Linked DNA regions of Elephas maximus indicus. The protein of the gene in region 3 interacts with the protein of the main gene of each other region in a pairwise test. Links are inferred from orthologs where the notes say so. Each region holds a gene or a part of one and is shown on either strand. Other genes may lie near its edges.

What was found. The genes of interacting proteins can lie anywhere in the genome.
Region 1: the proteins of PRKAB2 (region 3) and TASOR2 interact in binary tests that used the Homo sapiens proteins (3 or more experiments, as listed by UniProt). The link is inferred for Elephas maximus indicus from reciprocal best matches to the Homo sapiens genes PRKAB2 and TASOR2.
Region 2: the proteins of PRKAB2 (region 3) and PIAS2 interact in binary tests that used the Homo sapiens proteins (3 or more experiments, as listed by UniProt). The link is inferred for Elephas maximus indicus from reciprocal best matches to the Homo sapiens genes PRKAB2 and PIAS2.

What each region holds. Positions count from the first base shown.
Region 1 is NC_064822.1:53,201,172-53,211,898, forward strand, and holds the start of TASOR2 (protein TASOR 2), read right to left. Parts: upstream 4,994-10,727; 5' UTR 4,348-4,993; coding exon 4,287-4,347; intron 1-4,286.
Region 2 is NC_064829.1:55,597,825-55,607,750, forward strand, and holds the start of PIAS2 (E3 SUMO-protein ligase PIAS2), read right to left. Parts: upstream 4,994-9,926; 5' UTR 4,819-4,993; coding exon 4,795-4,818; intron 4,351-4,794; exon of another isoform or gene 4,202-4,350; coding exon of another isoform or gene 4,199-4,201; intron 1-4,198. UniProt on the Homo sapiens protein: Functions as an E3-type small ubiquitin-like modifier (SUMO) ligase, stabilizing the interaction between UBE2I and the substrate, and as a SUMO-tethering factor.
Region 3 is NC_064821.1:159,054,415-159,065,050, reverse strand, and holds the start of PRKAB2 (5'-AMP-activated protein kinase subunit beta-2), read right to left. Parts: upstream 4,569-10,636; 5' UTR 4,512-4,568; intron 4,115-4,511; 5' UTR 3,852-4,114; intron 3,548-3,851; exon of another isoform or gene 3,406-3,547; intron 3,121-3,405; 5' UTR 3,096-3,120; coding exon 2,940-3,095; intron 1-2,939. UniProt on the Homo sapiens protein: Non-catalytic subunit of AMP-activated protein kinase (AMPK), an energy sensor protein kinase that plays a key role in regulating cellular energy metabolism.

The DNA of each region.
Region 1 (10,727 bases), on a different chromosome or scaffold from region 3:
CCAGCAATTTCACTACGAATTTGCCCTAGCAAAAGTACTATATACTGTACAGCGAAACCTCTGAGAGCTGGAACTCGACAGCATTGCCTTGTACTCCCAGGTCTCACCAAGATTTACTCCTTCGACAGGGTACAGTCACCACTTTCCTATCACTCGTTTTAGCGGAAAATACTTGAGTTTTCCTTCTCTGACACGTTTCCCCATCTTAGTCATCTAGTGCTGCATAACAGAAATACCACGAGTGGATGGCTTTAACAAAGAGAAGTTTATTTTCTCAGTAAAGTAAGTTGAAAGTCCAAATTCAGGGTGTCAGCTCCAGGGGAAGGCTTTCCCCCTCTCTGTTGGCCTTCTCATCAATCTTCCCCCAGACTAGGAGCTTCTCTGTGCAGGGACCCCGGGTCCACAGGATGCACTCTGCTCCAGGCACTGCTTTCTAGGTGGTATGAGGTTCCTCTGTCTCTCTGCTCCCTTCTTTCTTTTACATCTCAAAAGACTGCCTCAAGACACAATTCAACTTTGTAGACAGAGTCCTGCCTTACTAACACAACTACCACCCATCCTCCCTCATTAACATCACAGACAGCATTTACAAAATATAGAAAAGTCTCACAATACCGGGAATCATGACTCAGTCAAACTGATATATATATTTTGGGGGTGGACATAATTTAATCCATGACACCCCCTTACAAAGGTTTCAGGATTTGCTGGTTTTACTGTATTTGTACTTGAAGACCTGAACAAGAAGGTTACGAAAGCACTAATTGTAATAGCCTAAAATGGTTCCCAGAGTGGTCATGTTAATGTATATCATTTCTTAAAACTGTTATACAATGAAATATGTCACCAATCAAATCTGCATGATTCAGTGAACCAGTATTTTCCAAACGACCAACGTACGTGTGAAAGATTCCTTCAAAGTGCAAGACAGACCAATGGATCTTAATGTCACAGAGTACAAAAAGTCCACTGATATGGTTTGAAATTCTACACTGCAGCTAACCTTTGAGAAACTGTTAGGTTTTGATGAGTTATCAAAGAAGAATACCTATAGTTACCTGAAAAGGCTATTATAATATTCTTCCCTTTTCCAAGTATACAGCTGAGTAGGCAGGATTTTCTTCACATACTTCAACCAAAACAACATATTACAAAAGACTGAATGCAGAAACAGACATGAGCCACTGGTCTAAAATAGTAAAATTTGCAAAAATGTAAAACAATGCCACTCTCCTAAGTTTTTTTTGTTTGGGAAAAGAGTTAATTTTCATTGAAATGTTATCTATGTTAAGATGCAATAGGTTTGTTGTTATTATTTTTAAATGTACCGATATATATTTTTAGACGGCACTGGGTTTTTGGGTAATATATATTTTAAATATTTATCATTTTTAATATCTACTATGGTTTTAAAAGTGTAAAAGACTCCTGAGACCAAGAAGTTTCTGAATTACCGAATTACACGCTTCAACATGGCTTAATTTCAGAAACATAATGTTGATCAAAAGCAACCCACAAATACACGATATGATTCTAAATAAAGCTCAAAAACAGGCAAATGTAAACAATGTGTTGGTTAAAGTCACACATATAGCTGATAAAAGTATAAAGAAAAGCAAGACAATAATTAAGATAAAATCCAAGATGACCAAAGCAATAGCGGTGGGAAATGCTTTGTTTCAAGAGGCACACAAAGGGCTTCTAAAGAACTTGTGATGCTTGACTCGACAGCACTGGGTGACTGGGTTTTACTAAGTAGGATACACAGATTTTTTTTTTTTTTTTAAACTGGGCATCTCAATGGCATATTTCACAACAAAAATTCTAAGAGAAAAAACAGGTAGAGATACACCTATTCCCCAGAAAGAAAAACTCCAAAGGACCTCTCTTCTCAAATTAATCTGCAAATTCAATGCGATCACAAACTATACCCTAATGAAATTTTCTATAGACTGTTTTGTAAAAAGATGACTCTAAATTTCATCTGCAAGAGAAAATGGAAAAGGAAAACCCACAACTTTTTTAAAAACAAAGTACCAAAATATATTATAAAGCTACAATAATTAAAACAGTATGGTAATACCTAAATGAGTCAGAGAAGTATGTTCAGAACACAATAAAAAATGAGCAAAGGGTATGAAGCAGCAGAATGTTCAACTTTCTTATTAAGGATCATATAAAATTTAAATGAGATAGTCTTTTCAGTTACAAAATTGACAAAATATAAAAATACATATATTGTTAACATACAGTGCTGGCTAGCAGGGAGACAGAAACACACCTTTTTGAGAGAGTGAATATAAAACGGTACAATCATCTGAGGGAAATTCAAAAGCATATTATCCCACATTCTCATAAGAAATCAATTCTACAGAAATAGAAAATACAACCTTTCAAACACTGTCTTTTTCTTAAAATAATTGTGGACAAACATATTTTCACTTTTTATTTCTTCTCTGGCCTGTCTTAGCTTTGTTACAAACCTGGTGGGCAGGGTTACAGCCAGCCTCACATCCTGTAATATTAAATACCACGATCCTCCCCTTTTTCCATTTTAATCCTTCTGGAACACCATGGGCCCTCAGGTCACTAAATGGTAAACCACAATAACGTTATATACTTGGTACGATATTTTTCAAAAAGTTTATCATTCTAATTTTATCTTACAGGGAGAATTAAGAAGGGTAAGAAAAGCTTACCTAAATCTACAGATTACAAATAAAGTGGTGATTAAGAGAAATCTGAGGACTTTTAAAATATCTTCCTCAAATTATGAGGTTAACATGCCACGTTTTCCCACAAAATGCTGTTTAGTGCCACCTTCAGACAAAATGCTGAGTTGCACAGGCCAACATTATGACATTCCTTGTGCATTACCCAATTTTTTTGTTTAATAATCTTCCATGCAGATAGACCTCTTTCTTTTACATCTACTGAAAAAATAGGTCAAGCACTGCCCTGAAGTCTCTTCAGAAAGAAACCTGAGCACCAGACTTTCACAAAGACCCTGTAGGTGCAGAGTGTGATCAATATCACCGAAAAATACAAGTAGAAATTGAATTGGTGAAAGTTTTGCTGCGTATGCTCTAAAAAAAAAAGAAAGAAACCGTATAAAATTACTTTCTAGCGAGTCCAAACTAAGTGAGTAATATCTGCCAACTATTTAAAACATAGCCATAACACCCATGAGGATGAAGCTGTCCTCTGACGAGTAACTCAAAACAAATGCTTCAACTGTTCTACGCTTTTGCTCTCAAAACCGTGAAGAACGACGAACATTGAAGCCCTATAAACCGGTTGCCATCAAGTCGATTGCGACTCAAAGCGACCCTTCAGGACAGAGAAGGGCTGTGTCCCACGGGTTTCCAAAGCTATGATCTTTATGGAGAACCCTAGTGGCCCAACGGTTAAGAGCTTGGCTGCTAACCAAAAGGCTGGCAGTTCGAATCCATCTGCCACTCCTTGGAAACCCTGTGGGGCAGTTCTAGTCTGCCCTATAGGAGTGCCATAGGACCCCAACAGATTTGGTCTAGTTGCTTTTTTAATCTTTAGGAAAGCCCACTGCCACATCTTTCTGCAGCGGCTGGTGGATCTGAACTCCCGACCTCTCCGTTAGCAGCGGAGCGCTTTAACCACTGCACCACCAGGGTTCCTTGAAGCCCTATACGAACTAGTAAAATGGTGACTTCCTAGAAACAATTTAGATCTACGTTTGCAGCGCTGAGAATGCCGACAGGTTGCAAAAGACCGAGTTATTCAAAAAGGAGAGATGATTCCAGAAAAACAGCAACCCCTCTCACTCCAGCTCAGGGCTTCAACCGATTCCTTCCGGTTGGGCTGGCAGCTGAGAATCTGCCTTTCCACCCGATACACTGAATCACAATCTACATTTTAACAAGACACCCACGTAATTCTTATGCATGATAAATTGAGAACCACTGGACTTACCATACATAAAAATAATTTGGGGGATCTTGTTCAAAGATAGATTGTGATTCAGTACATCTGGGGTGGAAATGCAAATTCTTAGCAGGGGGTCCAAACAGAGCAGCTGGCTAGAAGCCCTGGGGCAAACATGCATCAACGCGTTCATCAGTCATCCAAGAAAAACATGCAAAACCAATCATAATTTTAAAAAGTGTAACAGCAAAGCCACCAACAGCAACTACAAAAGTCCCAAGCAGCTATATCATGCATTTAGCCTTAGAAGACTGGAGCTTTGCCTTCCTTCCAATCGTCTACACAGGCGCACAAAACAGCGCGCCCCAAAACCGATGAAGTTTTACCTGTACTTTGTGCTGCCGCCGCCCCTGAAGACTTCAGAGAATTGTTCGATTTCTTTCCCATGCTTTTAGATTTTGTCTGCTCCTTTCACACGTGCTTCCTTTCTCTCGGTCCCTCCTGGCCAAATGTGACACATATAACATATATTTTCGAATTATATATTTTTTTAAAGTGACGTCTTTCTTCCTCTTTGTAATAAAAACCTCCAGTAGCTTCTGTATATTCCCCTTCTCCTGAATTTCCAATAGGCGATCTCAACCCCAAGTTTTCAAAAGCTCTCCAAAATTCTACCTCAAAAGAACCCAAGCCTATTCACGTTGCAGCTCGCCTGCAATACAGCCAATCTTTTCTCTCTGTCGTTCTGCCAAGAACGCGGGGAGGAGATGACTACGAGTAAAAGCGGGGACGACTTAGGAGAGTGGGAAGCCCCGAGTCCCGGTTTCGGCGGCGGCGCCTGAGCCACTCTGTGTCGCTCTCGAATCGACGCCGCTCTAAGGTGCTCAAAGGACGGAGGAACGGTGGGTCAAGGACGAGACTCGAAGCCGTCAGGTCCCCCGCGCTTTTCAGCAAAGCCTCCAATTCTTCCCCGAAAAGGCCATAGAAAAGCAAGAACCCCGTGACGCTACACGGCCTGAGGTAACATGTCGACTTTCTTACACACGATCGCAAGCAACCGGAAGTAAAACCTCGCGGCCGAAGGAAAATGAGAAAAATAAAAGAGAAAGTGAAAACTGAACTATAACATCATCCTTAGAGGTAGGAACGAATCACAGAGCAGATACCGAAGCGCAGGCGCGGGTCGCGTTCGGCGTACACGCGGCACTTGCCTCTTCCCTCTGCGCAGGCGCGAGGGGCTAGCGGGGCCCAATGATTGGCTTTCCTGGCTGGCGCACCGCCAGATGCAGCAGGCGCGGGCGGGAAGACCCTGTACGCGTCCTGTGGAGTGCCTACGCGGGCTATCGGTGGCGCTGGTTTTTACCACAGACGTGGGTGTTGGCTCCTTTAAGGGTCTCCCAGCGCAACTGCCGCGACGCTTGTTTTTTTCCTTGCCAAAATGTGTTAATTCCCAAATATCATCCTTGTTTCAATTTAACAGGTGTTGAACACATGTAACATTTGTGGATGTGCTAGTTCCCTAGGAAAACGCCTCTAGAAGGTTATGATCTATACAGAGGGAACTAAGATGACCATAACCCAAACCAAACCAAACTTGTTGAGTTGGTTCCAACTCATAGGGACCCTACAGGACAGAGTAGAACAGCCCCATAGGGTTTCCAAGAAGCTGCTGGTAGATTGGAACAGTGGACCTTTTGGTTTAGCAGCTGCAGCTCGCTATAGCTCTTAACCACTGTACCACCAGAGCTCAAGATGACCATAAACCAAAACCAAAAACTAAACCCAGTGCCATCTAGTCAATTCCGACTCATAGCAACCATCTAGGACAGAGTAGAACTGCCTCATGGAGTTTCCAAGGAGTGCGTGGTGGACTTGAACTGCTAACCTTCGGTTGGCAGCTGTAGCACTTAGCCACTATGCCACCAGGGTTTCCAAAATGACCCTACCAAATCAAAACCAAACCCGGTGCTGTCCAGTCAACTCCGATTCATAGCAACCCTATAGGACAGAGTAGAACTGCCCCATAGAGTTTCCATTGAGCGGCTGGGGGATTGGAACTGCCGACCCTTTGGTTAGCAGCCCTAGCACTTAACCACTACACCACCAGGGTTTCCAAGATGACCATAAATAACATTAACTCAGCTCTCTCCTTATCTGTGATAAATACCAATGAGAAGTATAAAGTGCTACAGATACCCTGAGCCAGGCACTGTGCGGTGCAATGGAAATAGGAAGAGATTCATTCAGTTGAAGCCGTGTGCCAGGTTATTGTCTTAGGCACCAGGATTACATATGAGGACAAGATCGACAAGGTCCTTGCGTGTAAGGGAACTTACTCTAGAGCTGAAGGCCAAGCAGGTAAACAGCAACAAAATATAATTTCAGATAAGGATATGTTCTATGAAAACAAACTGGAAATGCTGGAGAATGGGGGCAGAAGCTGGAGGCCAGGGACAGAAGAGGCAGAGCTGAATAAGGTACATTTGAAGTCAAACAAAAAAAAAATTTTTTTTTGAAGTCAAACCTGAATGACACAAACTGCATCAACCTGTCCTTGGAAGATCTGGTCGCTATGAGTTGGAATCGACTTGGGCAGTGGGTTTGGTTTTGGAAGATCTGGAGGAAGAGCTTGACAAGTGGAAGGTAAAGGAAGTGCAAAGGCCCTGAGAAGTGAAGTTAAGCATGCTCAAGAACTGAAGAGGTCTGGCTGGAGAAGCAGGGAATAAACCATAAAATAAAAAAAGTGCACAAAATCAGAATGTACAGTTTATCACAAAGCAAACATTCATGAAAACACCACCTCAGTCAAGAAATAGAGCATGCTAGTATCCCAAAGTCTCCCCTTTTCTCTCAATCACTACCCCCTTCTCTACCACTAAAGATAACCGCTATTCTAACTTCCAAGATAATCTTTTTTATTTTTCTTTACAGAGTTGCCATTGAAGTATGCATCCCTAAACTTTCATAGTTTAATTTTGCTTGTGTTTTGAATTTTATATGAATTGCTTTGTGTCTGATTACTTTGGAGAAATACTATATGAGATTCATCATGTTTTGTGTGTTTTTTCATTTTCATTGCAATATAAGTAGGTGTGGATATAGCACATTTTCTTTTTATTTTTTTTTTATTGTGTTTTAGGTGAAAGTTTACAACTCACATTAGTTTCTTATACAAAAATTTATGCACACATTGTTATGTGACCCTAGTTGCTATTCCTATACTGTGACAGCACACTCTTTTCCACCTCAGATTTACCATGCCCATTCAACCAGCTCCTATCACTTTCTGCCATCTCATCTCACCTCCGTAGCACTTTTTTTTAATCCACCGTATGGTTCATGAACATCTGGATTGTTCCTAGTCTTGGCTATTAAGAATAATGCTGCTATTGAACCAGGTGGTCATGAGAAGGTCATTAACCATCCCATAATAGTTGTTTTTCAGAAAGCCTACTCTTGCTACATTTTTGCTACAGCACTTCAACCTGATTGGTCGAATCCCCAGGTCTCTTCTCTTTTCCTAGTGCGAGGCTGAGGCCCAGGCGTATTATGAATTTGCTGGCTATGTGACCTTCCAGAGGTGACAGTAGCAAGCAAATCACCATTTTAGGACCACACAACAAGAATTAGGCATCCGACACTTGCGGACTTCATGTGCATCTTCCTATCGCAAGACTGAAGATCCTCCCCTTGCTGTCCATGCATATGTATGTCACTCCCTATAAAAGGTGCAAATCTACCCTAGTTGGGGGAGCTGGCAGCCTTAGGTCACAAGACCCTGCCTGTCTCCCAGTTTGCAAACTGCGAATAAATCTTTCTGTCCTTCCAACTCTGCATCTGGCTGGCTTTAATTCTCTTGTCTGCTTGACAAGAACCTATTTATTAGTTGATGACTTCACTATGAATGTACTTACTTCTCTTCTGGTGCACATGTATACTCATTTTTGTTTGGTGTATACCTAGGAGTAGAAGGCAGGCACGCTGGGTATAATAGTTGGGGGTTTTATTTGAGTACATATTTATTCCTGCCCCCCTCTGTGGTGCAATCCTTTGAGTGGCTTTTTGCCTTGATTCTTTGGCAAAAGAGTTTGGGAGATTTTCCCCTAAACCCTCAGAAATTGTTATTTTTGCCCTAGTTCTTTGGAGAAACAGCCTGGGGGAAAGGAGTGCTACTCCCAGGTTGTTGATTACCCCAGAGGGTTTGTTACTTTTGTTCAGGGGATTCCCCAGGTTGATTGACACTTCCTGGGTAAGCTGTAAACAACTTAATGCTTTGAGACTTTTATCTGGTAATTAACAAGACCTGAGTTGATTGACATCTCATGGGTGACTGACCTTTGGTTGAATTCTGGTCTGGTGAGGGAGGCCCTGCCTTGTAACTAAGGGGGAGTGGGATATACGAACAGCTAAAATAGGTAAGTTTTAGCAGCCGCCCAGTTGAGAAAGAGATGTTGGGTAAGTGCTGGGCTGGTAGAGAAGCAGAACCACAGGGGAGCTAAATGATCCTGAAGCTGCTACATTGGCTGTGAGCTAAGCCAGTTAGTAGCAGAGAGGGCTGATGCAGGAGAGGCCTAATGTGAGAGAGCAGCTATGAGAGCTGAGCAAGCTGCTATACTGGCTGTGAGCTGGCCCAGTTAGCTGCCTAATGGCAGAGAGGAATAGTGGAGAGCTGCTGCTGGGACAGAGGCTGAAAGTAGAATCCCAAAGTGGGAGAAAGGAAAAGAGGAGGAAAAGGAGAAGGCAGCAGTGGGGGTGTTGGTAGAAGAGGAGAAGGGGGCTCTGAATTCCTCCACAGCTTTGCTCCCTCTGAGGAGTAAGGCCCATGATGAAGGCCCCATGGAGGCAGTGGAGGTGGAGCTGGAATTGCACACCCTGCAGAACAGGTAGGCTCTGTGGCTCTTTAAGAATGACTTCAGCCAGGTCTTGCATCTGGTCACCAAGTTTGACACTGTGGAGGACTTTTGGGAGACGTACAGTCACATCCAGCTGGCCAGTAAACTCTACTGGTTGCAACTACACTCTGTTCAAGGATGGCATCCATCCCATGTGGATTAAGCATCAGGATTAAGCAGGGTGGCCACTTGCTGGTCAGCCTCGCCAAGCACCAGCGCCACAGCGAGCTGGACCTTCTCTGGAGACACTGTTGTGTCTGATACGGGAGAGCTTTGAGGAACATAGAAGGAGGCATGTGGGGCTGTCGTCAACATTTGCACCAAAGGGCACAAGATTACTGTGTGGACACGGGAGGTGAAGAGCCAGGCCAGCGTGCTGCACGTTGGGCATAGCCACCAAGAGCACCAGGAACAAGTTTGCAGTGTATAGGGGTCTCGGGAACACTCACATTTCAATTTCACGACCAGAGCCTGTGTGTGTGTGTGTGTGTGTGTGTGTGTACATGATGGGGGGAGGGCAGCTTACACAGCTGCTCCTTGACATGACTTGGGGGGCAAACAGCTGGTTCTTCCTGTGTCCTGGAGTGAATATGAACACTTCTTAATATGATTGGGGGCTAGGCATGAGGCTAGCTCTGTGGGGGAGGGCCCAGCATTACCTGGAGCCAGAGCCGGGGGGAAGAGATTGAGGGAACTTCTGGGTTTCCTTTTTTCATCTGGGGGTAGGGTATTAGCTGGGCCAATTAGTGGTAGAGAAGTCAACAGCAGAGAGCCTGACAGTGGGGAGCCCAATGGCCAAAAGCCCAACAGCAGAGAGGCCTGCACAGCAGAGAGGGCAGCTACTGGCAGAGAAGCTGAGTTATGGCACATGCCTGGCAGAGAAGGCGGCTGCCTGGCAGAGAAGGCGGCTGCCTAGCAGAGAAGCTGCATCCACTGATCACAGGAGGAGGGCAATGGTGTTAGACAAGAACGGTGCTGGACAAGAACACGTTAAGTGTACCAGAATATGCGTAGTAAGAGTACCAGAAAGTGAGGAGAGAAGGGAGAAGAAAAATATTCTAAGAAATAATGGCTAAGAACTTCCTAAACTTACTGAAAAACAATAAATTACATATCGAGGAAACACAATGATCTCCAAGTAGGGTAACTGCAAAGAGATCTACAAACATACACATCATAGTAAAAATGCTGAAGTTAAAAAACAAGGAGAAAATCTTGAAAGCAGCAAGAGAAAAATGTCTGCGTCTTCTGTAAAGAAGTTTATCAATTTTATTGATCTTCTCAAAGAACCAGCTTTTGGTTTCACTGATTTTCTGTCTTCTGTCTCATTTATTTCTGTATTTCCCTTTATTTTCTTCCTTCTCTTTTTTTCTAATTAAGGTAGAAATTTAAAACATTGATATGAGAACTTCTTTTCTAATAAAAGCCTCAAATTTTATATATTATTCTTGAAATGCTGCTTTAGATACAGTCCACCAATTTTAATATGTTGTGTTTTATTTTCAGTCAGTTCAAAGCATGTGCTAATGTCCTTTCTGATTTTTTCTTTGACACCTGGATTATTTAAAATTATGTTGTTTACTTTTAAATACTTGAGTATTTTCTAGATAACACTCGTGTTGATTATTGATTCCATTTTGGTCAGAGAACATACTTTTTATTATTCTAATCCTTGTAAATTTGTTGGGAGTAGTTTTATGGCCCAGAATAAGGTCTATCTTAGTGAATGTGTGTACTGGAAAAGAATGTCCATTTTGCTGTTGTTCTCCTGAGTATTATATAAATGTTAATTAGGTTAAGTTGATTGATAAAGTTGTTCAATTCTTCTGTATCATTACTGGTTTTCTGTCTGTGTGTTCTATCAATTAGTAAGAGAAGTGCTGAAATCTCCAGCTAGGATTGTGGATTTGACTAATTCTCCTTTCTGCTGTATTA
Region 2 (9,926 bases), on a different chromosome or scaffold from region 3:
TTGGTGTCAGCTCAGGGCCCACGTCTGGTAACTCCAAAAAAGTCTAATTACTTCCTTTTCCCCAATAGACAGTCACTCCCGTAAAAGTCCATACATTCCTTTGGGAAAGGATGGGAGGAAGAATAACAGTATAATTTTTTGGCAGCTAGTGGGGTCCTTCCTCAAGCCTCCCCTTCATTCATGAGGTTGTATGTTGGTCTGTAAAGTGGCTCAAGTCTGGGAACTGATTGAGGGGCTGTGACTATGCTAGTGATTCAAGTTAGATTGACATGCATTTGATCCAGGACTCTTCCACTTGAACAGATGAAGTAAATAGTAGAGTCCCCATTTATTTCTCTCCTAGGGACATCATGACTAAGCAGCCAATGCCTTAAGTTCATACAAGTCAGACTACTCGGATTACTGCCTTGACTCTGATGTTCATTACAGTAACCACGCCCACTTTTTCTTTGGTGACTAAGTTCCACCTCTTGGCCCCTACCACCAAAGGTCCAACCAGCCCCACTGTAGTTCAAACCAGAAAAAAAAAAAAAAAAAAAAAAACTTGCTGTTGTTGAGTCAATTTCAACTCATAGGAACCCTACAGAACAGAGCAGAACTGCCTCATAGGGTTTCCAAGGAGTGGATGGTGGATTAGAACTGCTGACCTTTCGGTTAGCCACTGAGCTCTTAACCACTGCACCACCAGGGCTCCACCCATTGTAGTTCAGTGTCTTAATTCAGTTACAGTAGTTCCCACTGTCAAAACTGACTTACATAAAACAGCAATCACAGTAGTCTTCAAGGACACTAGAGCTCTCTTTATAAATTTGTTTCTCACGATTGTGATAAAACATGTGTCCTCAGGGTACTCCATGTGTGGGTCTGTGGATCCAACCTGATAAATTCACTCTAAAACCAAACTGTTACTGTCGAGTAGATTCCAACTCATAGTGACGCTACTGGCATTCTAACATGCCAATTTCCCTAAGTCTTTGGATACCTTCTTCTACAATAAACTCAGGCAGGTCTGGCATTTCAACTTGATTTAGTATAGGTCACCGCTTAATCCATGCTTTAGTGAACCAACCAAATAAGCTATTAGATCTTTTTCTAACTTCTCGAGCAAAAACAGTGAATGAAGAATCTGTGCTTAGTGATCACATATCAATAAACTCAGACTGGTCCAACTTTATGCTTTTTGCACCATTATCCCATGCCCTTAATAGCCATTCCCACACATACTCCCCAGGTTCCTGTTTGTATATATCAGAAAAATCAAGCAGTTCTTTTGGAGTGTAGCATATTTCCTCAGGGGTCATACTTTGTACTTCACTTCTTGGGGCTCACTGGGACTTGAGTCTAGTTATAGGTCTAGAAGCAAAAATGCTGGCAGGGGTGGTTTGGGGAACATTCAGCAATGTTTTGTAAGGCATCTGTCTTAGGCAACGCCGCCGGCAGTATCTCAACAGCTCTTCAGACACAGCTGGGTTAACTCAACAGATGGGGGTGGAAGGGATAATGGTTTAACTAAGGAAGGGAGCTTAGCAAACAAAGATGGCGGAATCTCTTCAGATGGGAGTAAGAGGGCTAGTTCTGTTGGCAGGAGTGATTTAATGGAATTTAGGGGCTCAATGTCCCCAGCTTCCTGATTATCTACCAATGTGCCCCATCCCACTTTTTGGGATCCCATTTCTTCCCAGTCAGTGTCCTCACTTTAATTTCAGACATCATTCAAGGTTACAAATTCAACTGGCATTGTAATTCAGACACTCTTAAGACTCTGGGTTTGGCTTTTGGCAGCATCAGCTCTGTTACTACAAGAAAGGTGATTTCTTTCAGGGCTCAAGTGGGAACTTTCAGGTCTTTTATATGGCACTTATTTTTTTTTAAGCTGTGACTCTGAAGCCCTGAGCTCAACTCGTTCTTTCACCACTTTGTCCAGCAAAACCACGACCGACCAACCAGCTTATACTTCTCATTTGGATGAAACCGTAGAAAAATATCAAATATGCGATCACCCAGAACCTTATCTCTCACAAATACTTTACCATGGGTGATGTTATTTTGTGTATTTCTATGGCCACCTCATGCCATGGATTAACAGTGTCCTCTTTACTACTAGAGACAGTCATCAGCACCTTTAAGGCTAGCCAGGCTTGAGAAACAATTCAGAAAACTCATCCTCCTTATGAATTTCCCCTCTAGAACCACTCTCAGTACCAAACGTTTTTCTCCAGAGAAGAAAAACCAATGAAGCACGCATATATATATATATATATATATATATATATATATAAATTTATCTCAAGAAAACGGCTCACGCAGTTGTAGAAGTTGACAAGTCCCAAACCCATGGGTCAAGCATCAGACTAAAGGCTTCTCCTGACTCACGTGGTTGCGGTAGCCAACAAACCCAAAATTGGAAGGTCAGGCGGAAGGCTGCTGGCTCACATGGCTGCGGGAGCTAAGGAATCCCAAGATCTGCAGATCGGGCAGCAAGTTGCTGGCTCACGTCCCAAGAACAGAAGTCAGAGGATGACCGATAGGATACAGGATCCAAGAGAGAGTTTTGCCAGAACATTCATATATACATACTGGCTGCAGGCTGCGCCCCTAAGGAAACTGATTGGCTTTCGACTGAATGGTCTTTCAACAAACTGGCTGTTCACATCATATCGCAAAATGGAGAATAATTACATAATACCTGCCAAACCACTGGGAATCATGGCCTAGCCAAGTTGACACATAACCTTAACCATCACAGCTGCTAAAGTGGCTAAGGCAAAGATGAACATGGATAACTTTTCAAGCATCTGCCCAGCCCATATCCTCCCCTCCTCTGAGAACTCTCCCTGGTTAGTCTCTGTCGGTCACCTGAAGTCAACTGTAAGGGAAGGGCCATCTTCTATCAAGTGCAGGGAGAAGCAAAGACAGCTGATCCACACAACAAAATGGAGAGAAAGAAAGAGGGAGAAAAGTTTCTTTGGTTTCTGACCACTTTCCAGTTCCTGGTTCCACTCCAATGTAAGCACCGTTTCTGCCCTGTACTGGTAAATAAATCCTCTGCTTTTTTGTTAAGCTTCAACAACATTTATAAAAGTCTAACACAAGTTCTGGAAAAGTTCTCATCAATAAAAATAATAGGAAGAGAAAAATTTGCAAATATTTGTCACTACACAAAAATTACTACCGCAGGTGAGAATAATTTCAAAATGCAGTCTTCTAAACCTAATACATGGATTTACAGAAGTGAAGCTCAAGCATGGTTTTTTCAAAAGCTCTACAGGTGTTAAAACCTCCAACCTGAGGTTCATCAGCCACTAAAACCCTTACTTGAACTTGGCAATATGAACATCCTTTTCTTATCATGGTCCTCTATATAAACTAGTCCAAAAACCAAAACCAGCGCCGTCGAGTGGATTACAACTCACAGCGACCCTACAGGACAGAGCAGAACTGCCCCATAGAGTTTCCAAGGAGCCCCTGGCGGATCTGAACTGCCAACCCTTTGGTTAGCAGCCGTCGCACTTAACCACTACACCATCATAAAATGCATGAACATGGCTTTTCTACTGCATTCTAATTCCTTTTGGGGGGGGCGGGCGGTGGGGGACAAATGGCAGGCATTATGTAAACTACAACAATCTCCTTTCGACCAAAACCAAGAATATGTTCTTCTGTAAGTTACTAGCCAGGTAACAAATGACTTTCCTCCACCAGATCCCTCACCGAAAAGTAACATACAAAACTGACTCTTTTAACAGATTCTTCTTCCTTCTTATTCCAAAAAAGTAACCCTAACATCATAGTCTATGTTACGCAAACTGGCTGCAGTTAACTTAAAGTTGACATTCATTCCTATTTTGAAATATATATTTTTAAGTATCAGGGTTCCCGTCCTTACATATTCTATTTACATAAACCCGGACATAAAAAAAAACATAGCGACCATAAAAAATAAATCCGGCTCATTTGTCACACTTAGTTTTCTTTCAGTTAAGGACTCTGAAGGTTATCAGTCTGAAGGAAAAAAAAAAAAATTCTGCTAACCTCCATTATACTCCATTACAAATGTCTACTATACAAAGATAACTATCAAGTTATGACCTTGCTCTAAGGCTAGGAAAAAAATTTTTTTTTCCTCAAGAGCAAAGCAAATTCACTGACAAAAAAAAAAAAAAAACTCATGACAACACAGACTTTCTAGATTTCTTACCATGGTACCAAGAAAATATCGATTACTGAAGGCAAGGCTCCCAAAAGATCACGCTTCCAATATGTGGAGGAAACACTGGTTGGAGGAAGGGGCCTTTTCTTGTGACAGACCTGACTACACGGTATCATCAGCCACAGAGAGGAGAGAAACATTCTCGAGCGCAACTTCACCTTTCAGAAAATAGTCTTCCTCCAAGTAAGTGGCATGTAGACTTCTCAATCGCCATAGACACGTACACCCCTTGCGAAGGTGGAAAATAAAACGCTGTTTTTTACCTCAGACCTTAAACGGGGAAGTCGGGTCCCACGTGCCCCTCCCCAGGGCGGCCCCTACCCCCGCGCCAGGTGCCTGGATTCGCCAACAGGACCCAGAGGCGGGCTCGCCCTCGGCCCCAGGCCCACAGCACCCGCAAGGCCCAGGCGTCCTCCGCCGACTCGCTCCCCTCCCCCGCCCACTTGGGCGCCGGCTCGGACGCGCGCCGGGAGTCGGGGTCGGCCAACCGGTCCCGGCAACGAGAAGGTGGCAGCAGACGACGTTGCGGCTTCCCCGCCTCCCCTCCCCCCGGCCTCTGCGCTCCACTCCTGGCCCCTGCTTACCCTCAACTCTTCGAAATCCGCCATTTTATACCAGCCGCGGACGCTGCCGCTACTGCTACCACAGCACCCCCTCCCACTGCCGCCAACAACGCCGCCGCCACCAGGGCCGCCGCCGCCGCTTCCAGCACCATCCTGCACTGGGCGCCGCTAAAGACGCCGCGGCCACAGCCGCCGCCGTCGCCGCCGACGCCGCCGGGACCCTCACGTGACTGGCACGGGAGCTCCGCCCCCGGCGCGCCGCTGCCCCGCCCCCGGTCTCCCCTGCCCAGCCCGGCCACCGCCTTCCGCCCGCGCCTTCTCCCACGCTCTTGCGCGCGGCTCTCTTCGCGTTAGATCCCTCTCTCTCCTGCGACCCGCACGTCTTCTTGCGTCTGGTTCTGTCGCCTTGCCTTCCTCAGCCCTCGTTGTCACTTCCCTCCACATCGCGACGCCGGTCCCGACTCCGTGAAACGCAGCAGCGACTGCAGCCTTACCGGCAGGCTTAAGGAGGATCTGGCCCGGGGAAGTGGCAGAGAGGAAGAGATGGACGGGACTTGTGACAGGAGCAGTTCGGCAGAATTCTTATGGTGTCCTTCCACGCAGTGGCTGTGGACCGAGGAAGCAGCTGCAATAAAAGCATTCCTCAGAGTAGTCGTGGCGGAACAATCTGAATATGGGTGTTGGGTAAGCTATTGTTGTATCTAACGGTACAGGATTGGGGAGATCTCTTTAAACTGCTAACATCCTCAAGTAGGAACCTGGCCCAGCCTTTGAAGGGCGAGGGAATGTCATGGACTGCACAATTGAGACTCTGGGGGGTGAGGGGAGAGTGGAAGTGAAATAAGAGAGCGCTCAGAAGGGCCCTGATAAAAAGTTGAGGGGTCAGGGAAATCAGATAGCTAGGGAAGAACTAATGCCATGGCAGAGGAGCTGGAAGGAAGCTTGATGGCACCCCTAACATGCTGATGAAAGGATGAGAGACAAAGAGGATGCTGAGTCAAGCTGGTATCCGAAAATTCTCTGAACTGAGCCCAGAGTTCAAATTTTCTTGAAGATGTGGGTGGAACCCATCCAAGGAAGGCCTTGAAAACTTAGTGGAACTTACAAAGAGCCGTGTTGAATCTGTCTCCTGTCTAGCTACTTCCCACTCCCCCTCACTCCAGAAACACTGCCCATGTTTCAGTTCCTCCACCAGACTTTTTTTCCCTATGTTTTAACCTGTGAATGCAAATCCCTGGGCCAAGAATAATTTCCCACTTTCATCCTCTTTTCGAACTTCTGTAAATCTTTCAGGTCTCAGTTGAAGTGTCACTTCTTCAGAAAGACCTTCCCTAGCCCCATTTTAATTCATATCCCTCTCATGACCTCTCATAGTACCCTGAACTTTTCCTTGATAGCATTTATCCACGGTAAGTATAGGGTACAGTCAATTCTTGTTATTTGTGGTAGCGGCGTTCTATAAAATCTTTGGGAACACTGAACCATTGCTCCAGGGAAATACAGGGTTAGGTTCCTGCAAGCCTCTGGTCACATTTTCGTCAATCTGTCAATACATAACCTTGTTTTATGTGTGTTTTCTGTTTAAAAAACACCTTATTTAGTATATATCGTTGATTCATTAACACTGAACTCATGGCCAAGAGCATTATAACTTAAGCCTGAATGAAGCTCATTGACCACACGTATTTTCTCTGTAAGGCACATCAAGGCCTTCTTGCACTTAGGAACACTAGATAGCACATAAGCACTAGGCTTGGAGGCTATTTTAAACAACAATATAACCAGCCAAAAGCACAAAAATGAGAAAAATGTAGCACTAAATAGACAGCTAAAAGGACACTTGTTTACTGTATGAGAGCTAAAACAATAAGGCACAGAGTCATCTTGTTCAGTCTCAGCTAGGAATGTGCACATCTGGTGGCTCAAGTTTTTGGCCACTTTGTACACGTTTACAGATAACCAGGAAAGCACCATATTGATGTTGGGGTTACAAATAAATTTTAGCAAATAAAATCTGCAAATAATGAAAGTCAGCTGTATTCCAGTGATTATTATGTAAATAGTAAAAATAACTGCTTAAAAAATTTTATTCTAAAAAAATTTTTGAACCCCCTGGAATGTAGTGGAAACCCTGGTGGTGTAGTGCTCAAGAGCTATGAGTGCTAACCAAAAGGCTGGCAGTTTGAATCCACCAGGCACTCCTTGGAAATCCTATGGGGCAGTTCTGCTCTGTCGTTTAGGGTCACTATGAGTTAGAATTGACTCAACAGCAACGGGTTTTTGTTTTTTAGACTGGAGTGCCTAATAAATAGTAGGCCTTGTATTTGTTTAATGAATAAAGGAGTGAATGAACCATGTGTACTACCTATACTGTCTAGAGTAAATTCTCCACCACTAATTCTGTGATCTTGCCTTATTCTTGATTTTAGCTTGTTGTTATTATGCCTTGGTTTACACCTCAGTATAATTTATGTTGTTCAGTAGACATTAAATGAAGGCCACTGTGGGCTAGAGGCTGATAGAATAGACAGATGAATAAAACACACAAAAGCACTGCCACCAAAGAGCTTATAACCCATAAGAGAGACCAACTGAAATATGAATAAAACTGTAAGAGAAGCAAGGCCACACCGAGACTTGTTTGTAGTATACATTGTAATCACTTCCTCAGTGTCCATTCTGTCCCTCCCCCACTGTATAGCAGCTACTGGCTAGCTTGGGTAGGTTTGACAGCAAAGAATTCTAGATGCTACCCCAGATTGTCCTAAGCCAATAAGAACTATTATGTCCTTATCACAGTGATAAGATCAGAGCTAGACAGATGAGACCGATTAGTGCAGAGCATTCCAGGCCTTGCCAAGGAGATCAAATGTGGGCCCATACCCTAAGATAACATGGGTTATTTATTCACTAATTAGAGATGCAGAAATATACTTTCTGGTATATGAAACGCTATACCCATTTTCCTACAATGAGGGGCCAACTTGAAGACCAACCCTTCTCATGAGCAGGTGTCTTAGGCTGAAGTTTCTAAAGTAGTAAAACTGTGTGTGTGTATATATATGTAAATATATACACACAAAGATATGTGTGTACATATATGTAAATATATACACAAAAAGATATGTGTGTATATATATGTATATATATAAAGACATATTTATTTCAAGGAAATGGCTCGCTAAGTTTTGGAGGCTGGCAAGTCCCAAAACTGTGAATCAGGCATCAGGCTGGAGGCTTCTTCTGTCTCACATGGTTGCCTGGGCTGATGAACTCAAGATCTGCAGGTCAGACAGCAGACGACTGGCTCACATCCCGAGAATTGGAGGTCAGAGGATGAGGAGTCAGATGCAGGATCGAGAGAGGAAGAGCTTTGCCAGAACATCTATATGCATTGGATGCAGGCAACACCTCCTAGGAAAAACTCCTTTCAATTGATTGGTTGCTCACAACAGATCACATCATGGATAGTGACTACATTATATCTGCCAAACCACTGAGAATCATGGCCTAACCAAGCTGACACATAACCTTAATCATCAAAGCAAGTTTCACCAAAAAAAAGAAAAAAGTATAGAATTAACATTGACACCCACCTTACCTCTATTTTTCAGGTTTCTTTAGCCACTATCATCCCTTTATTGTAAATAGTTTGAGATGGGTCTTCTATTATTTGCAGCCAAACGAATTCTGAAATATGGTGCTACTTTGTCTCTCTAGGCCGCATTACTAATTAAGCCCCTTTTCTAGACTGTGCTCCCTAATAGTTACTCAGTATTTGTTTAAAGGAGATGCTGAGTGGTTGTTGTTGTTAGAGGCCGTCAAGATGGCTCCAGTTCATAGTGATCTAATGGATAACAGAACAAACTGTTGCCTACTCCAGCTCCATCTTTATGATCATTGCTATGGCTGAGTGGTAATGGGTAAAATTGCTTACTGTCCTGAGCAGTTCAGCTCTGACCTAGATTTCTGTAGCCTACTCATCAAAAAGAAATCCCTGTACTCACTTAGATCAGTTTCCTTAGAACGTAGCATAACAAAATGTTCATTAAAAATATAGAAATTAAACACATAACATAGTAAATGAACATGCCCAGTTATCTCCCAAGCTCATATTCCTCAGGCTGGTTTCCTCATTCATCACAGCTGTCATGGATTGAACTGTATCCCCCCAAAATATATGTCAAGTTGGCTAGGCCATGATTCTCAGTATTGTGTGATTGTCCATTTTGTGATGTGATATAATTATCCTCCATTTTGTGATGTGTTGTAAATCCTATCCTCTATATACCACCATGTGTCTGTCATTTTGTTGTACAGTGGTGCTTGCGTGTTGCTGTGATACTGGAAACTTTGCCACTGGTATTTCAATTACCACCAGGGTCACCCTTGGTGAACAGGTTTCAGCAGAGCTTACAGACTCAGACTAAGAAGAAGGACCTAGTGGTCTACTTCTGAAAAAATTGGCCAGTGAAAACCTTATGAGTAGCAGTAGAACATTGTCTGGTATAGTGCCAGAAGATGAGCTCTTCAGGTTGGAAGGCACTCAAAGTATGACTGGGGAAGAGCTGCCTCCTCAAAGTAGAGTTGACCTTGATGACATGGATGGAGTCAAGCTCTCAGGACCTTCATTTGCTGACATGGCACAACTCAAAATGAGAAGAAACAGCCAAAAACATCCATTAATAATCAGAACATGTAAAATACGAAGTATTAATCTAGGAAAATTGGAAGTTGTCAAAAATTATATGGACTGCATAAAGATCAATATCCTAGGCATTACTGAGCTGAAATGGACTGGTATTGGCCCATCTGAATCAAGACAATCATGGCTTACTGTGCCAAGAATAACAAATTGAAGAGGAGTGGTGTCACATTCATCATCAAAAAGAACATTTCAAGATCTATCCTGAAGTACAAGGCTGTCAGTGATGGCATAATGTCCAAATGCCTACAAAGAAGACCAGTTAATATGACTATTCAAATTTATGCACAAACCAGTAAGGTCAAAGATGAAGAAATTAAAGATTTTTACCAACTTCAACAGTCTGAAATTGATCACACATGCAGTCAAAATGCTTTGATAATTACTGGCAATTGGAAAGAGAAAATTGGAGACAAAGAAGAAGGATTGGTGTTTGGAAAATACCACC
Region 3 (10,636 bases):
ACATAAACCAGAGACTACACTAGCCTGAGACCAGAAGAACTAGATGGTGCCAGCTACAACCAATAACTGCCTTGACAGGGAACACAGCAGAGAACCCCTGAGGGAGCAGGAGAGTAGTGGGATGTAGACCCCAAATTCTAGTAAAAAGACCAGACTTAATGGTCTGAGTGAGACCAGAGGGAGCCTGGAGATCATGGTCCCCAGAATTTCTGTTAGCCCAAGACAGGAACCATTCCCAAAGCCAACTCTTCAGAGAGGGATTGGACTGGAGTCCCGTAGGGTCGCTATGAGTCGGAATCGACTCGATGGCAGTGGGTTATGGGATAGAAATTGATACTGGTGAAGAGTGAGCTTCTTGGATCAAGTAGACACATGAGACTGTGTGGGCATCTCTTGTCTGGAGGGGAGATGAAAGGGTAGAGGGGGTCAGAAGCTTGCCAAATAGACACAAAAAGAGAGTGGAGGGTAGCAGGGTGCTGTCTCATTAGGGGGAGAGCAACTAGGAGTATATAGTAAGATGTACATACATTTTTGTATGAGAGACTGACTTGATTTGTAAAGTTTCACTTAAAGCACAATTAAAAAAGAAAAAAAAAAGCTTCCCAGGTAATAATAATGTGATTACATTAAAATAAACAAAGGAAAAAAACCCCTTACATTTAGAGAAAGATTCTGAAACATTTATAGGTAAAACAGTATCTGAAATCATGTCTGGAATTTGCTTCAAAATAACTGGTGGGGGAGTGTGGATTAAAATAAAGATGATATAAATTTATGCATGACTTAATGATTATTTAAACTGGGTGAAAGGTATACAAGGACTCATTATACTGTTCTCCCTACTCTGTAAATTTTCCATAAGATGTTTTTAAAAACATTATGTGATTCTAACGAGCTACGATTGAGAACCACTGAACTAGTCCACTAAAGAAGGCCGGCACCACTGCCACCTTCGCTATCAGTACTTTTATGTCTTAGGATTTCTAATTTAGAATTTGAAAGCTACAAACTATTAATATGCCTCACTTTGGAGTGAAGCTCTTCCACATATGACATTATGTGGTAGCTATGAGTGCAGCTGACAGAAAGATTGTCTCCTCCAAGTGAAATAGCAAAACCACCAGGAAAAGAGGCAAAACAACAATTAGAACTATAATTCAAAGGTGTTTAAGTAAAATGTTGACGGAAGAAGCGAAGAGGGTAGATTTAGAAGTATAAAATTTTACATTTGGAAGAGACCTTAAAATTATCAAAACCAATTCTCTCATTTCGTAGATAACAAGATCGAAGTGAGGGACTGAAGATCCAAAATAGGCCCCAATGCAGACTGAGCACTGGCTTTTATTCAGGACACTGATTGCTACAGGCACTGTTTGACAAATACTTAAATACTGAGTCATCCAAGTAGGAAAAGGGTAAAAATACAATAAGGAAAACCATCTTTGAGAAAGCTTTGATGAAGTAAATTCAGATGGCTGCTTAGACAGCCCAAGTGATGAAAGAGAAGTCCTGAAGTGGGAGAGGGAAGAAAAGAACAGAGACAAAACTCCTAGAAATGCTCAATTACCCTCACTTCTCCCTGGGGCAGTTCTACTCCATCCTATAGGGTCACTATAAGTCAGAACAGACACTACAGCAGTGGGTTTGGTTTTTTTTTTTTTGGACTTCTCCCTCTGTGATTATTTTCTCAATTGGGCTCCAGGGAAATACACAAACTATAGACTCCAAATTTCATGCTACCTATGTGGCAGATAATACTCTATTTACTGTCTAAAACTCCAGTTTTGTGGGAAATGATGAGGTAATAAGAAACACATCCCATTCTCTTCAATCCCTCCATTTTTCTATTTCAGCCCAGTCAGCCTATCTGGATGAACGTATTTAATGCGGAAAGCTCTAAAGTGATTGGAAACATTAGCATAGTAATCACAATGCTGTCATGCCCATCTGTCCTTTCTGTAGGATGAACACAAGTTGCTGCCTTGGAATTGAGAAGGAGGTCTCAGGGCAACTGTGGGTTGTCGTTTTTTTTAGCCATGGCAACATTCTGAGGTACTACTGGGAAGTGGAGAAATCCTGCAGTCCAGGAATCATTTGCTTTCCCATGAGAAGCAGCTGGGTATTAAGCAAGCGCAGCCTCAGCCAATAGCAACTGTGAAGTACAGGATGAAATTTATTAGTCGACCAAATGATGACTTTTATTGGTCCCCCAAATTAGGATTGTTCTTGTTGTTAGATTCAGTGGAGTCGACTTTGAGTGACCCCACGTGACAGAGCAGAACTGCCCCATACGGTTTTCCGGACCCTAATTTTTACGGGAGGAGATCGCCCCAGAGCGGCTGGGTAGATTCAAAGCGCCAGTCTTTTGGTGAGCAGTAGAGCTCTTAACCATTGTGCCACCTGGGCTCCTCGATTATTCAAATAAGCAATGGGTTCCTGCTAACAGCCACACCAGTGGGGGAAGAGGAACAGGTGTGCTAAGCTCCTATGGCAAAAATGATACAAACACATAGAAGTTTTCAAGAAAAAGAAAATATATTTACCTATTTCAGGACAAACTGATAAACTGTCACCTATGGTCAGCAATTCTGGCAACCTACCCTCTGAAGTTCTCCGTTAGGGCTTACATACAGTTCATAATTTAGCAATGGTCTAGAAGTGAGCAACCGTGCCTTTTAGAACCAAGGATTCTGTGGGGGCTTATTATCCCTCATCCTAAAAATGTGACTAAAAGATTAATCAGAAAGCCGTAAAAATAAGAGCTCTGTTTCTTCATCCTATTTTGAGGCAGCACCGCAAGAGAAATTACCATCAACACCCTGTGACCCTGAAAAACCCGTTTGATTCAAAACACCGTAACCCAAGTCAGTGTGATGAGAACGAACCAGGAAAGGGAGGAGGAGCCCGCGAACCAAGCCCACTGAAGCATTGCCACCAACCTTGGAGTCCTGCAGGCTGAAGACGCTGGGGTCATCGGTGCTCCCGACCATGATCTTGTGCTCCTTGCCCGAGGCATGGCTGCCGGCACCCTCGGCACGCGCAGCCTTGGTGCCGTGGCGCTCCCCGGACACCCGGTCGCTGGTGGTGTTTCCCATGTTTGCGGCTCGAGTCGGGAGCCACCTGCCGCGGGGAACGACATGGGGCGAGGGGACACCCCAGCTGCTGCGTCAGGAGCGACGCCGGTCCCGCCCCTGCGCCCTGGGACCCGAGCAGGGAATCCCCGCCCCAGGGAAGCCGTGCCCAGGGATCCCGTCCCTCTCTAGCTTCTAGGAAAAAAAAAAAAAAGAGCGCCCCTAAATCCCTAGGTCCCCTCACCGCCCCCCTCCTCAGGAAATCCGCTTTCGGGAACTGCCCCGCATCCCCGCGCTCACTGCCCTCATTGCAAACATCCCCCACCCCAATCACCTCCCGCGATGCGCTCCCTCCTCCCGGGACCGCTGGTGCAATGGCTGTTCTGCGGGATAAGGCCCCCAATAAAGTTATTGAAATTGAAGCCGCGCCTCGGGGTAGCGATCCGGATTTCCTCCTAAAATGGCTACAAGGCCAGTAGCACTGGGCACGCCCCACACACGTTCCCTGAGGCCGCGCCCCCGCGGCGCCCCGGGGCCGGCCGCCTCTCTAGCCGTCGCCGCCGCCTCAATGGTGGGCGGACGCGCGCGGCCTCCAGCGCCAGGCGGGGGCGCCCGACTCCCAGCCCTGCGATCACCGGCGCTTCGGGCTGGGGCCGCCGCACAGGACGAGGTGCTGCAACCGGGATTGCTGGTGAGACCGGTCGCTGGGCCTACCCTACGGAGAGGACGGCCCATGAACGATAGTCGGCGGCCACTTCCCTGACTTCCAGTGTTTGGTACCTGGAGGAGCAGTGCTGCTTTCCTCCCGTCCCGCTCACCCAGCCCAGGTTCGTCAGAACGTTTTCTGAGCTGCGTCCTGGTGAGAGGCGATCCCGAAGAGGTGGGCTCCTATAGGGAATTAGAAAACGGCTTCCTTTCCAATTCCAGCAGAAGGAGGTAGTGGTAATTGCGCGAGGTTTGAGCTGGGTGCTGTAGGATCGACGAGGAAGGAGCAGTGAGCCGATTGGGGCTCTAGGGAATATTTGAAGAAGTATGAGATAAACCTTGAGAAATAAAGAAAATATTAGTCTTAGGACAAGAAGAAGTGTTTGTATTGTAATTATATGCATTTCTCATTCCCTTCTAGAAACTTGCTACTCAACCTGTGTTCTACACACCAGCAGCATTGGCGTCGTCTAAGGCCCCCTCCTAGACCTGAGAATCAGAATCTGCATTTTAACAAGATTCCCAGGGGATATGTGTGCACATTAAAGTGTGAGAAGCACTGCTTTGACAACTCAGTAGGGCAGATCAGATTCAATTCCTCTTCACAGCCTTTCTGCGCCAGACCTTGTGCTGCTTTCTTCCCGTCCCTCTCACCCGGCCCCAGATTTTAATAATCTAAGTAAGCTTTTAATAAAGATTTGCAGAGTGAAGGGTACAGGGATACTGTTTACTTACCTTCCTAACAAGATAAGCCACTTAGGCTTAATCACAGCCAGTGATGGGCCACCCAAGTCCACCTTTTCTGAGTGAGCAGCTGTTTGTGGAAAAGTTTGTTTTTATATCAAGTTGAACATCTGCTTGACTCCAACAAATCCTCTCCTCCCCCATCTTTTCTTGCTGTGCCCCTTCTAAACTCAGCCATTCTCTGGCCCTTAACCAAAGAATTTGCAGGAAAAAAAAAAAAGGTACAATTTTACTGCAGCCTCTTGCTCACTGCTAAATTTTGACTAACTCCTATTTGTTTACCCCTACCCTTTCCCGCAAGGAGCCCTGGTAATGTAGTGGTTAATAGCTCTCCTGCTAACCCAAAGTTTGACGGTTTGAACCCACCCAGCGGCTCCAAGGGAGAAGGACCTGGTGATCTGCCCCTGTAAAGATTACAACCTAGAAAACTGTATGGGGTAGTCCTACTGTCACATGGGGCCACTGTGAGTTGAAAATCGACTGATGACACCCAACAACATCCCCTTCCTTAGTTTCTTTCATCCCTTCCAGTAGGATTCTGAAACAAGGCCCTTGACTTGTGCACTATTCTGTTCTCTAACCCCTGGGTGGTTTCTGCTTGCTAAATAATATGTTCTTGATATGTATTGCCTTATAATAGTATTAGTCTACAGAAAATTTATTTAAGAGAAAGAAACTGTTTTTGTAAATTATTCTACTATATTTCAAAGCCGAATTTGAACAGTGAGTAAGCCTTCCTCCTGAGATGTCCTAAAGTCTAAAAATTTGGACTGTAATCACTGAGCTAACATTGTAATTGTTAATTCTGATTCTGTGGTTCTGAATGAATGTTCTGAGGTCTTATTTACATGTCTTGCCATGACTAAATGAGTTTATGCATGACGCACCTGAGTGTGCCTCTATTAATTCCTAAGATAAACCCTGCATAACAACTCCCAGTAAAAGCTCTGGACATGGAAACTCCATGGGCTTCCTGGTCGATGAAAGACATCGATACACTTGGGAGGGTAGCGCATCCCTTTTTGGGACACAAAAGCTTGGTGTTGGCACCCCTCCTAGACCTAGCCTATGCATCTCTTCATTTGTGTGCTTTTTTCCTGTAATAAAACTATGATCATATGTATAGTGCTTTTTGTGAGTTCTATGAGTTTTTCCATAGAAGTGTTATACCCAAGGGAATAGTGGGAGCCAGTGGATCAGAAGTGAGGGGGCTGGGGACCCCAAAGCTTGCAGCTGGCATCTACAAGGGGTGGTGGGAAAACCCTGAATTTGTAACCAGCAGGTCAGAAGTGAAGGGGGCCCTAGGGACTTCCAAGATTGTGGCTGGAATCTGTGATCTTGGGCCAGCTTAGTCTGGAGGACTGTGCCCTTTAATCTGTGAGCTCTGACCTAGCTCTGGATGGTTAGAGCCAGAGGAAGGAGTGCTGCATGCGCAGCTGGTGTCAGAACAGAAGGGGCAGAAAAGTGAACAGTGGGGATTTTGATTTATGTTGATTATTCTCCTCCTAGTCTTAAAATGTGAGTCAGTAAACAAAATGTGGTATAGCCATACAATAAAATACTACTCAGATAAAATACCACTCAGCAATAAAGAAACAAACTCCTGATATGCACAGAAACGTGGATGAATCTCGAATGCACTATGCTAAGTGGAAGAAGCCAGATTTCATTTATATGACATTCTGGAAAAGCCAAAAACAGGGTCAGAAAACAGATGAATGGCTGCCAGGAGTCAGAAGTGGGAAGAGTGGTTGACCACAAAGGGGCATGAAGGAATTGGGAGGGGAATTACGGAACAGTTCTATATCTTGATTGTGATAGTGGTGTATACGTTTGTCAAAACTCACAGGACTGTACACTGAAAAGGGTGAAATTTACTGTATGAAAATCATGCCTCAATAAAAAATATAACCGTCTGTCCACTTTAGTACTGTTATCTGCCTTTCATATTCCAAAGAACTTGCGTATGAATTATATTACGAGATCTTCAAAACCTGTGAAGGAAGGCAGAAGAGATGATTATATCCTCATTTTTAAAATGAAGTTCGGGTTAAATATTAGTGTTTCTTGAAATAACATGTATAGTCCATTTATTTCAAGCCTAGTACTTGCTGGGACTGTGCTAAGCATAGACTGCTTAAGTAAGCCCCTGCTCTGGTGGAGCTCACTGTCTTGAAATAATTAAAAAAACCAATTTGACCCCAAATAGGTATGATCTATGGACACTTAGAACTAAACATTCACTGAGAATGTCCTTCAAAATACATTATTGGAAGAATTTGTGTCTCAATTAGTGTCTTGGTCAACATGCATCATTTTTGTTAGGTGCCTTCGAGTACGTTCTGACTCACAGCAACCCCATGTACAACAGAACGAAACGCTGCCTCATCCCGCTCCATCCTCACAATCATTGCTGCGTTTGAGCCCACTGTTGCAGCCACTGGGTCAGTCCAGCACAGGAATCCCGGTCCAAAGGATGCACTCTGCTCCTGGCACTGCTTTCTTGGTGGTATGAGGTCCCCACTCTGCCTGCTTTTGCTTTCCTTTTATCTCATGTGAGGCAAAAGGTGGTACAGGGCACATACCAGGGAAAGTCCCTTTACATTGAATCAGGGGTGTGACCTTAGTAAGGATGTTACCATTCCACCCTAATCCTCTTTAACAAAATTACAATCATGAAATGGAGGACAACCACACTTTACTGGGAATCATGGCCTGACCAAGTAGATGCATATTTTGGGGGGACACAATTCAATCCATGACACACCCCAACATGGAATTATATTCTCCAAGACCTTTTTTGCTACAAAAGTGGCAGTTGCTTCTCTGCAAGGAAGAGCTACTCAGTGAGAGAGCATGCAAATCATTATTAAAACAAATTGATAACCCTGAGAAGGGGGCAACTGGATGAAATCCATTTGCCATACTAACATGGGCCCTCAGGGTTGTGGAAAATGACCAAAGGAGTATTTCAGTGTTTTCCAGGAGTGAATAAAGGACTTGTGGGGCAAGCCTTGTGAATATCTGTAGTGGCTTTCTGAAATTTACCCCACTAATAATTTTAATAATTTTGCATAATTTGTATCATTTTATCTATAGCATAATGACTAGCTTCATGTAATAGATGAAGCATTGGATACTGTAAGGATGAGGGAAGGACAATTCTCTTATTTGGTTCAACTCATTACACAGATATTGGGTCTACTGTGCATCTTTCCTTTGTCTATAAAGCTTTTTCTCAAGTTCTGCATTTTCTTGTTCAGTTATTAAATCATCCTTTGAAAATAGAGAAATTTCATTAAGTTGTGGTCCAATTATTTCTGTCAGTATAACTTTATTTGCGCAAATTTAGGTAGCTGTCTTTTTGCCATATGATCTGTGAAATGGTTTCCTTTCATTTCCACAGAAGTAAGCTCTTTTTGGTGGGCTTGTGTTTTAATAATAGGTAGGCTTTTAGGTAATAATAATACATCTAATGGTTCTTTAATGAGCTGGCTATTTTTAATTTCAGTCCCAGACGATGTTAAAAGTCCTCTTTGTTCCTATAACAGTCCAATATTGTGTACAACTTTAATCTCATATTGACAGTCCAAAGTAACATTGGCTACTAGGCCTTCAGCTAACACACAAGCTTGGGTCAGAGCATATAGCTCTGCTTGCTGGGTTGAGGTGGCTTTAGGGAGAGGTTCCTTTTCTATTACGTCAGTAGGGGAGACTATTGGATAGCCAGCCTGAAATTTGGAGGAGTTTGGGGATGGTTTAAGATATGACTGATCTACAAACAAAATAAGATCAGGATTCTCTAAAATACATTCTTGTAAATCAAGCCTGGGAGTTAATAACTATTCAGTAAGATTTCGGCAGTCATGCATCAGCTCAGATGAGTCCATGATAGGCCAATAAAGTGGCTGGATTTAGGGCTTTGACATGCCAAATGTGAATGTGAGGAGAGGAAAGTAGAATAGCTTTATAGAAAGCCATATAACTGGTGGATATGTGCTGGGTTACCCCAGAATTTAACGTAGCATTGACTCCATGGGGAACAAAAACGTTAAGAGTATTTCCCATTGCTATATCAGTAGTATTTTCTTTTAATTTTGCAAGGGCTATGGTAGCTCACAAACATGGGGGATAGGCATGAGCCATTGGATCTAGTTCTAAACTATAATCCTCTGAAGGTCTTTGCTGACTGTTAACGTTTTTCTGTTAGCACAAAGGCAGTCCCTTCTCTCTCATGAATGAACAGCAAGAAATCTAAATTGTAATTGGGATATTCTAAAGCCAGGGCAGAGTGCAGAGCACATTTTAAATTATCAATAGCTTTATCCTCATCTGAACCTAAAATCAGGACACCAGGTGCATTTCCGTTTAATAATTCATACAAGGGTCAAGCTATCAATGAGAAGTTTGTATCTATATCCAACAATAGTCACATAACCCTAAAAATCCTCTCAACTGCCTCTTGGTTTCAGGAGGTGGGAAGTTAAGGATTCCTGCTTCCTGGCTAGAGTTTAATGTGGCACCTTTGACAAAAAGAAGGTGACCTAAATATTTAACTTGAGTAGAGGCCAGCTGACGTTTTTCTTTCTTTCTTTTTTTTTTTTAATTGTACTTTAGTTGAAGGTTTACAGAACAAACTGTTTTCTTATCAGACAGGACACACGTTGTTCTATGACACTGGTTAACAACCCCACAACATGTCAACCCTGGGTTCACTATTACCAGCTTTCCAGTTCTCTCCTGCCTTCCAGTCCCTGCCCCAGGGCTAGTGCACCCCTTTAGTCTTGTTTTGTTCCATGGGCCTGTTCAATCTTTCGCTGAAGGGTGAACCTCAGCAGTGACCTCATTACTGAGCTGAAAGGGTGTCTGGGGGTCATACTCTCAAGGTTTCTCCAATCTCTGTCAGGCCAGCAAGACTGGTCTTTCTTTTTGAGTTAGAATTTTGTTCTACATTTTTCTCCAGTTCTGTCTGGGACCCTCTATCGTGATTCCTGTCAGAGCAGTCAGTGGTGGTAGCTGGGAACCATCTCGTTGTACTGGACTCAGTCTGATGGAGGCTGTGGTAGATGTGGTCCATTAGTCCTTTGGACTAATCTTTCCTTTGTATCTTTAGTTTTCTTCATTCTTCCCTGCTCCCGAAGGGGCAAGACCAGTGGAGTATCCTAGATGGCCACTCACAGGCTTTTAAGACCCCAGATGCTACTCACCAAAGTAGAATGTAGAACATTTTCTTTATAAACTCTTATGCCAATTGAGCTAGGTGTTCCCTGAGGCCATGGTCCCCACAGCCCTCAGCCCCACAATTTGGTCCCTCAGGGAATTTGGATGTGTCTGTGGAGCTACCACAACCTCGCCTTATACAGGTTGTGCTGGCTTCACCAGTATTGTGTACTGTCTTATCCTTCACCAAAGTTACCACTTCCTCTCTATTAGAAAATTCTATAATACCTACACCATTTATTCCCTCTTTTATTGTTCTGATGTTGTTGTCATTTACATATTAACCTTTCCGGTTCCCTGTTGCAATTCTTTTGGTTTTGGATAGTCTTCGAGAGTTCACTTCCTGCGTTGGTATCTGGCTGGTACAATCTTGCATCCTAGATTCAGGTTGTGGTCTGATGTTGCTTGTTCTCAGACAGAAGGACTCCCTTTAATACTTCTTGTAAGTTTGGTTTGGTTTTTACATATTCCCTTAATTTCTGTTTACCTGGAAATGTACTAATTTCACCATCATATTTGAATGAAAGTTTTACAGGCTATATTATTATTGTTTGGCAATTTTTTTCTGTCAAGGTTTTATATATGTCATCCTATTGCCTTCTTGCCTGCATGGTTTCTGCCAAACAATCAGAGCTTAGTCTTATTGTTTCTCCTCTGTATGTGAATTCTTGTTTTTCTCAAGCTGCTCTCAGGATTTTTTTCTCTGTCTTTGGTTTTAGCGAGTGTGATTATGATATACCTTGGTGTTTTTCTTTTGGGGTCTATCCTATATGGGGTTCGTTGAGCTTCTTGGATAGTAAGCTTTTCATCTTTCGTGATATTAGGGAAATTTCTGTCAGCAATTCTTTAATGATCCTCTTTGTGTTTTCCATTTTCTCTCCCTATTCTGGAACACC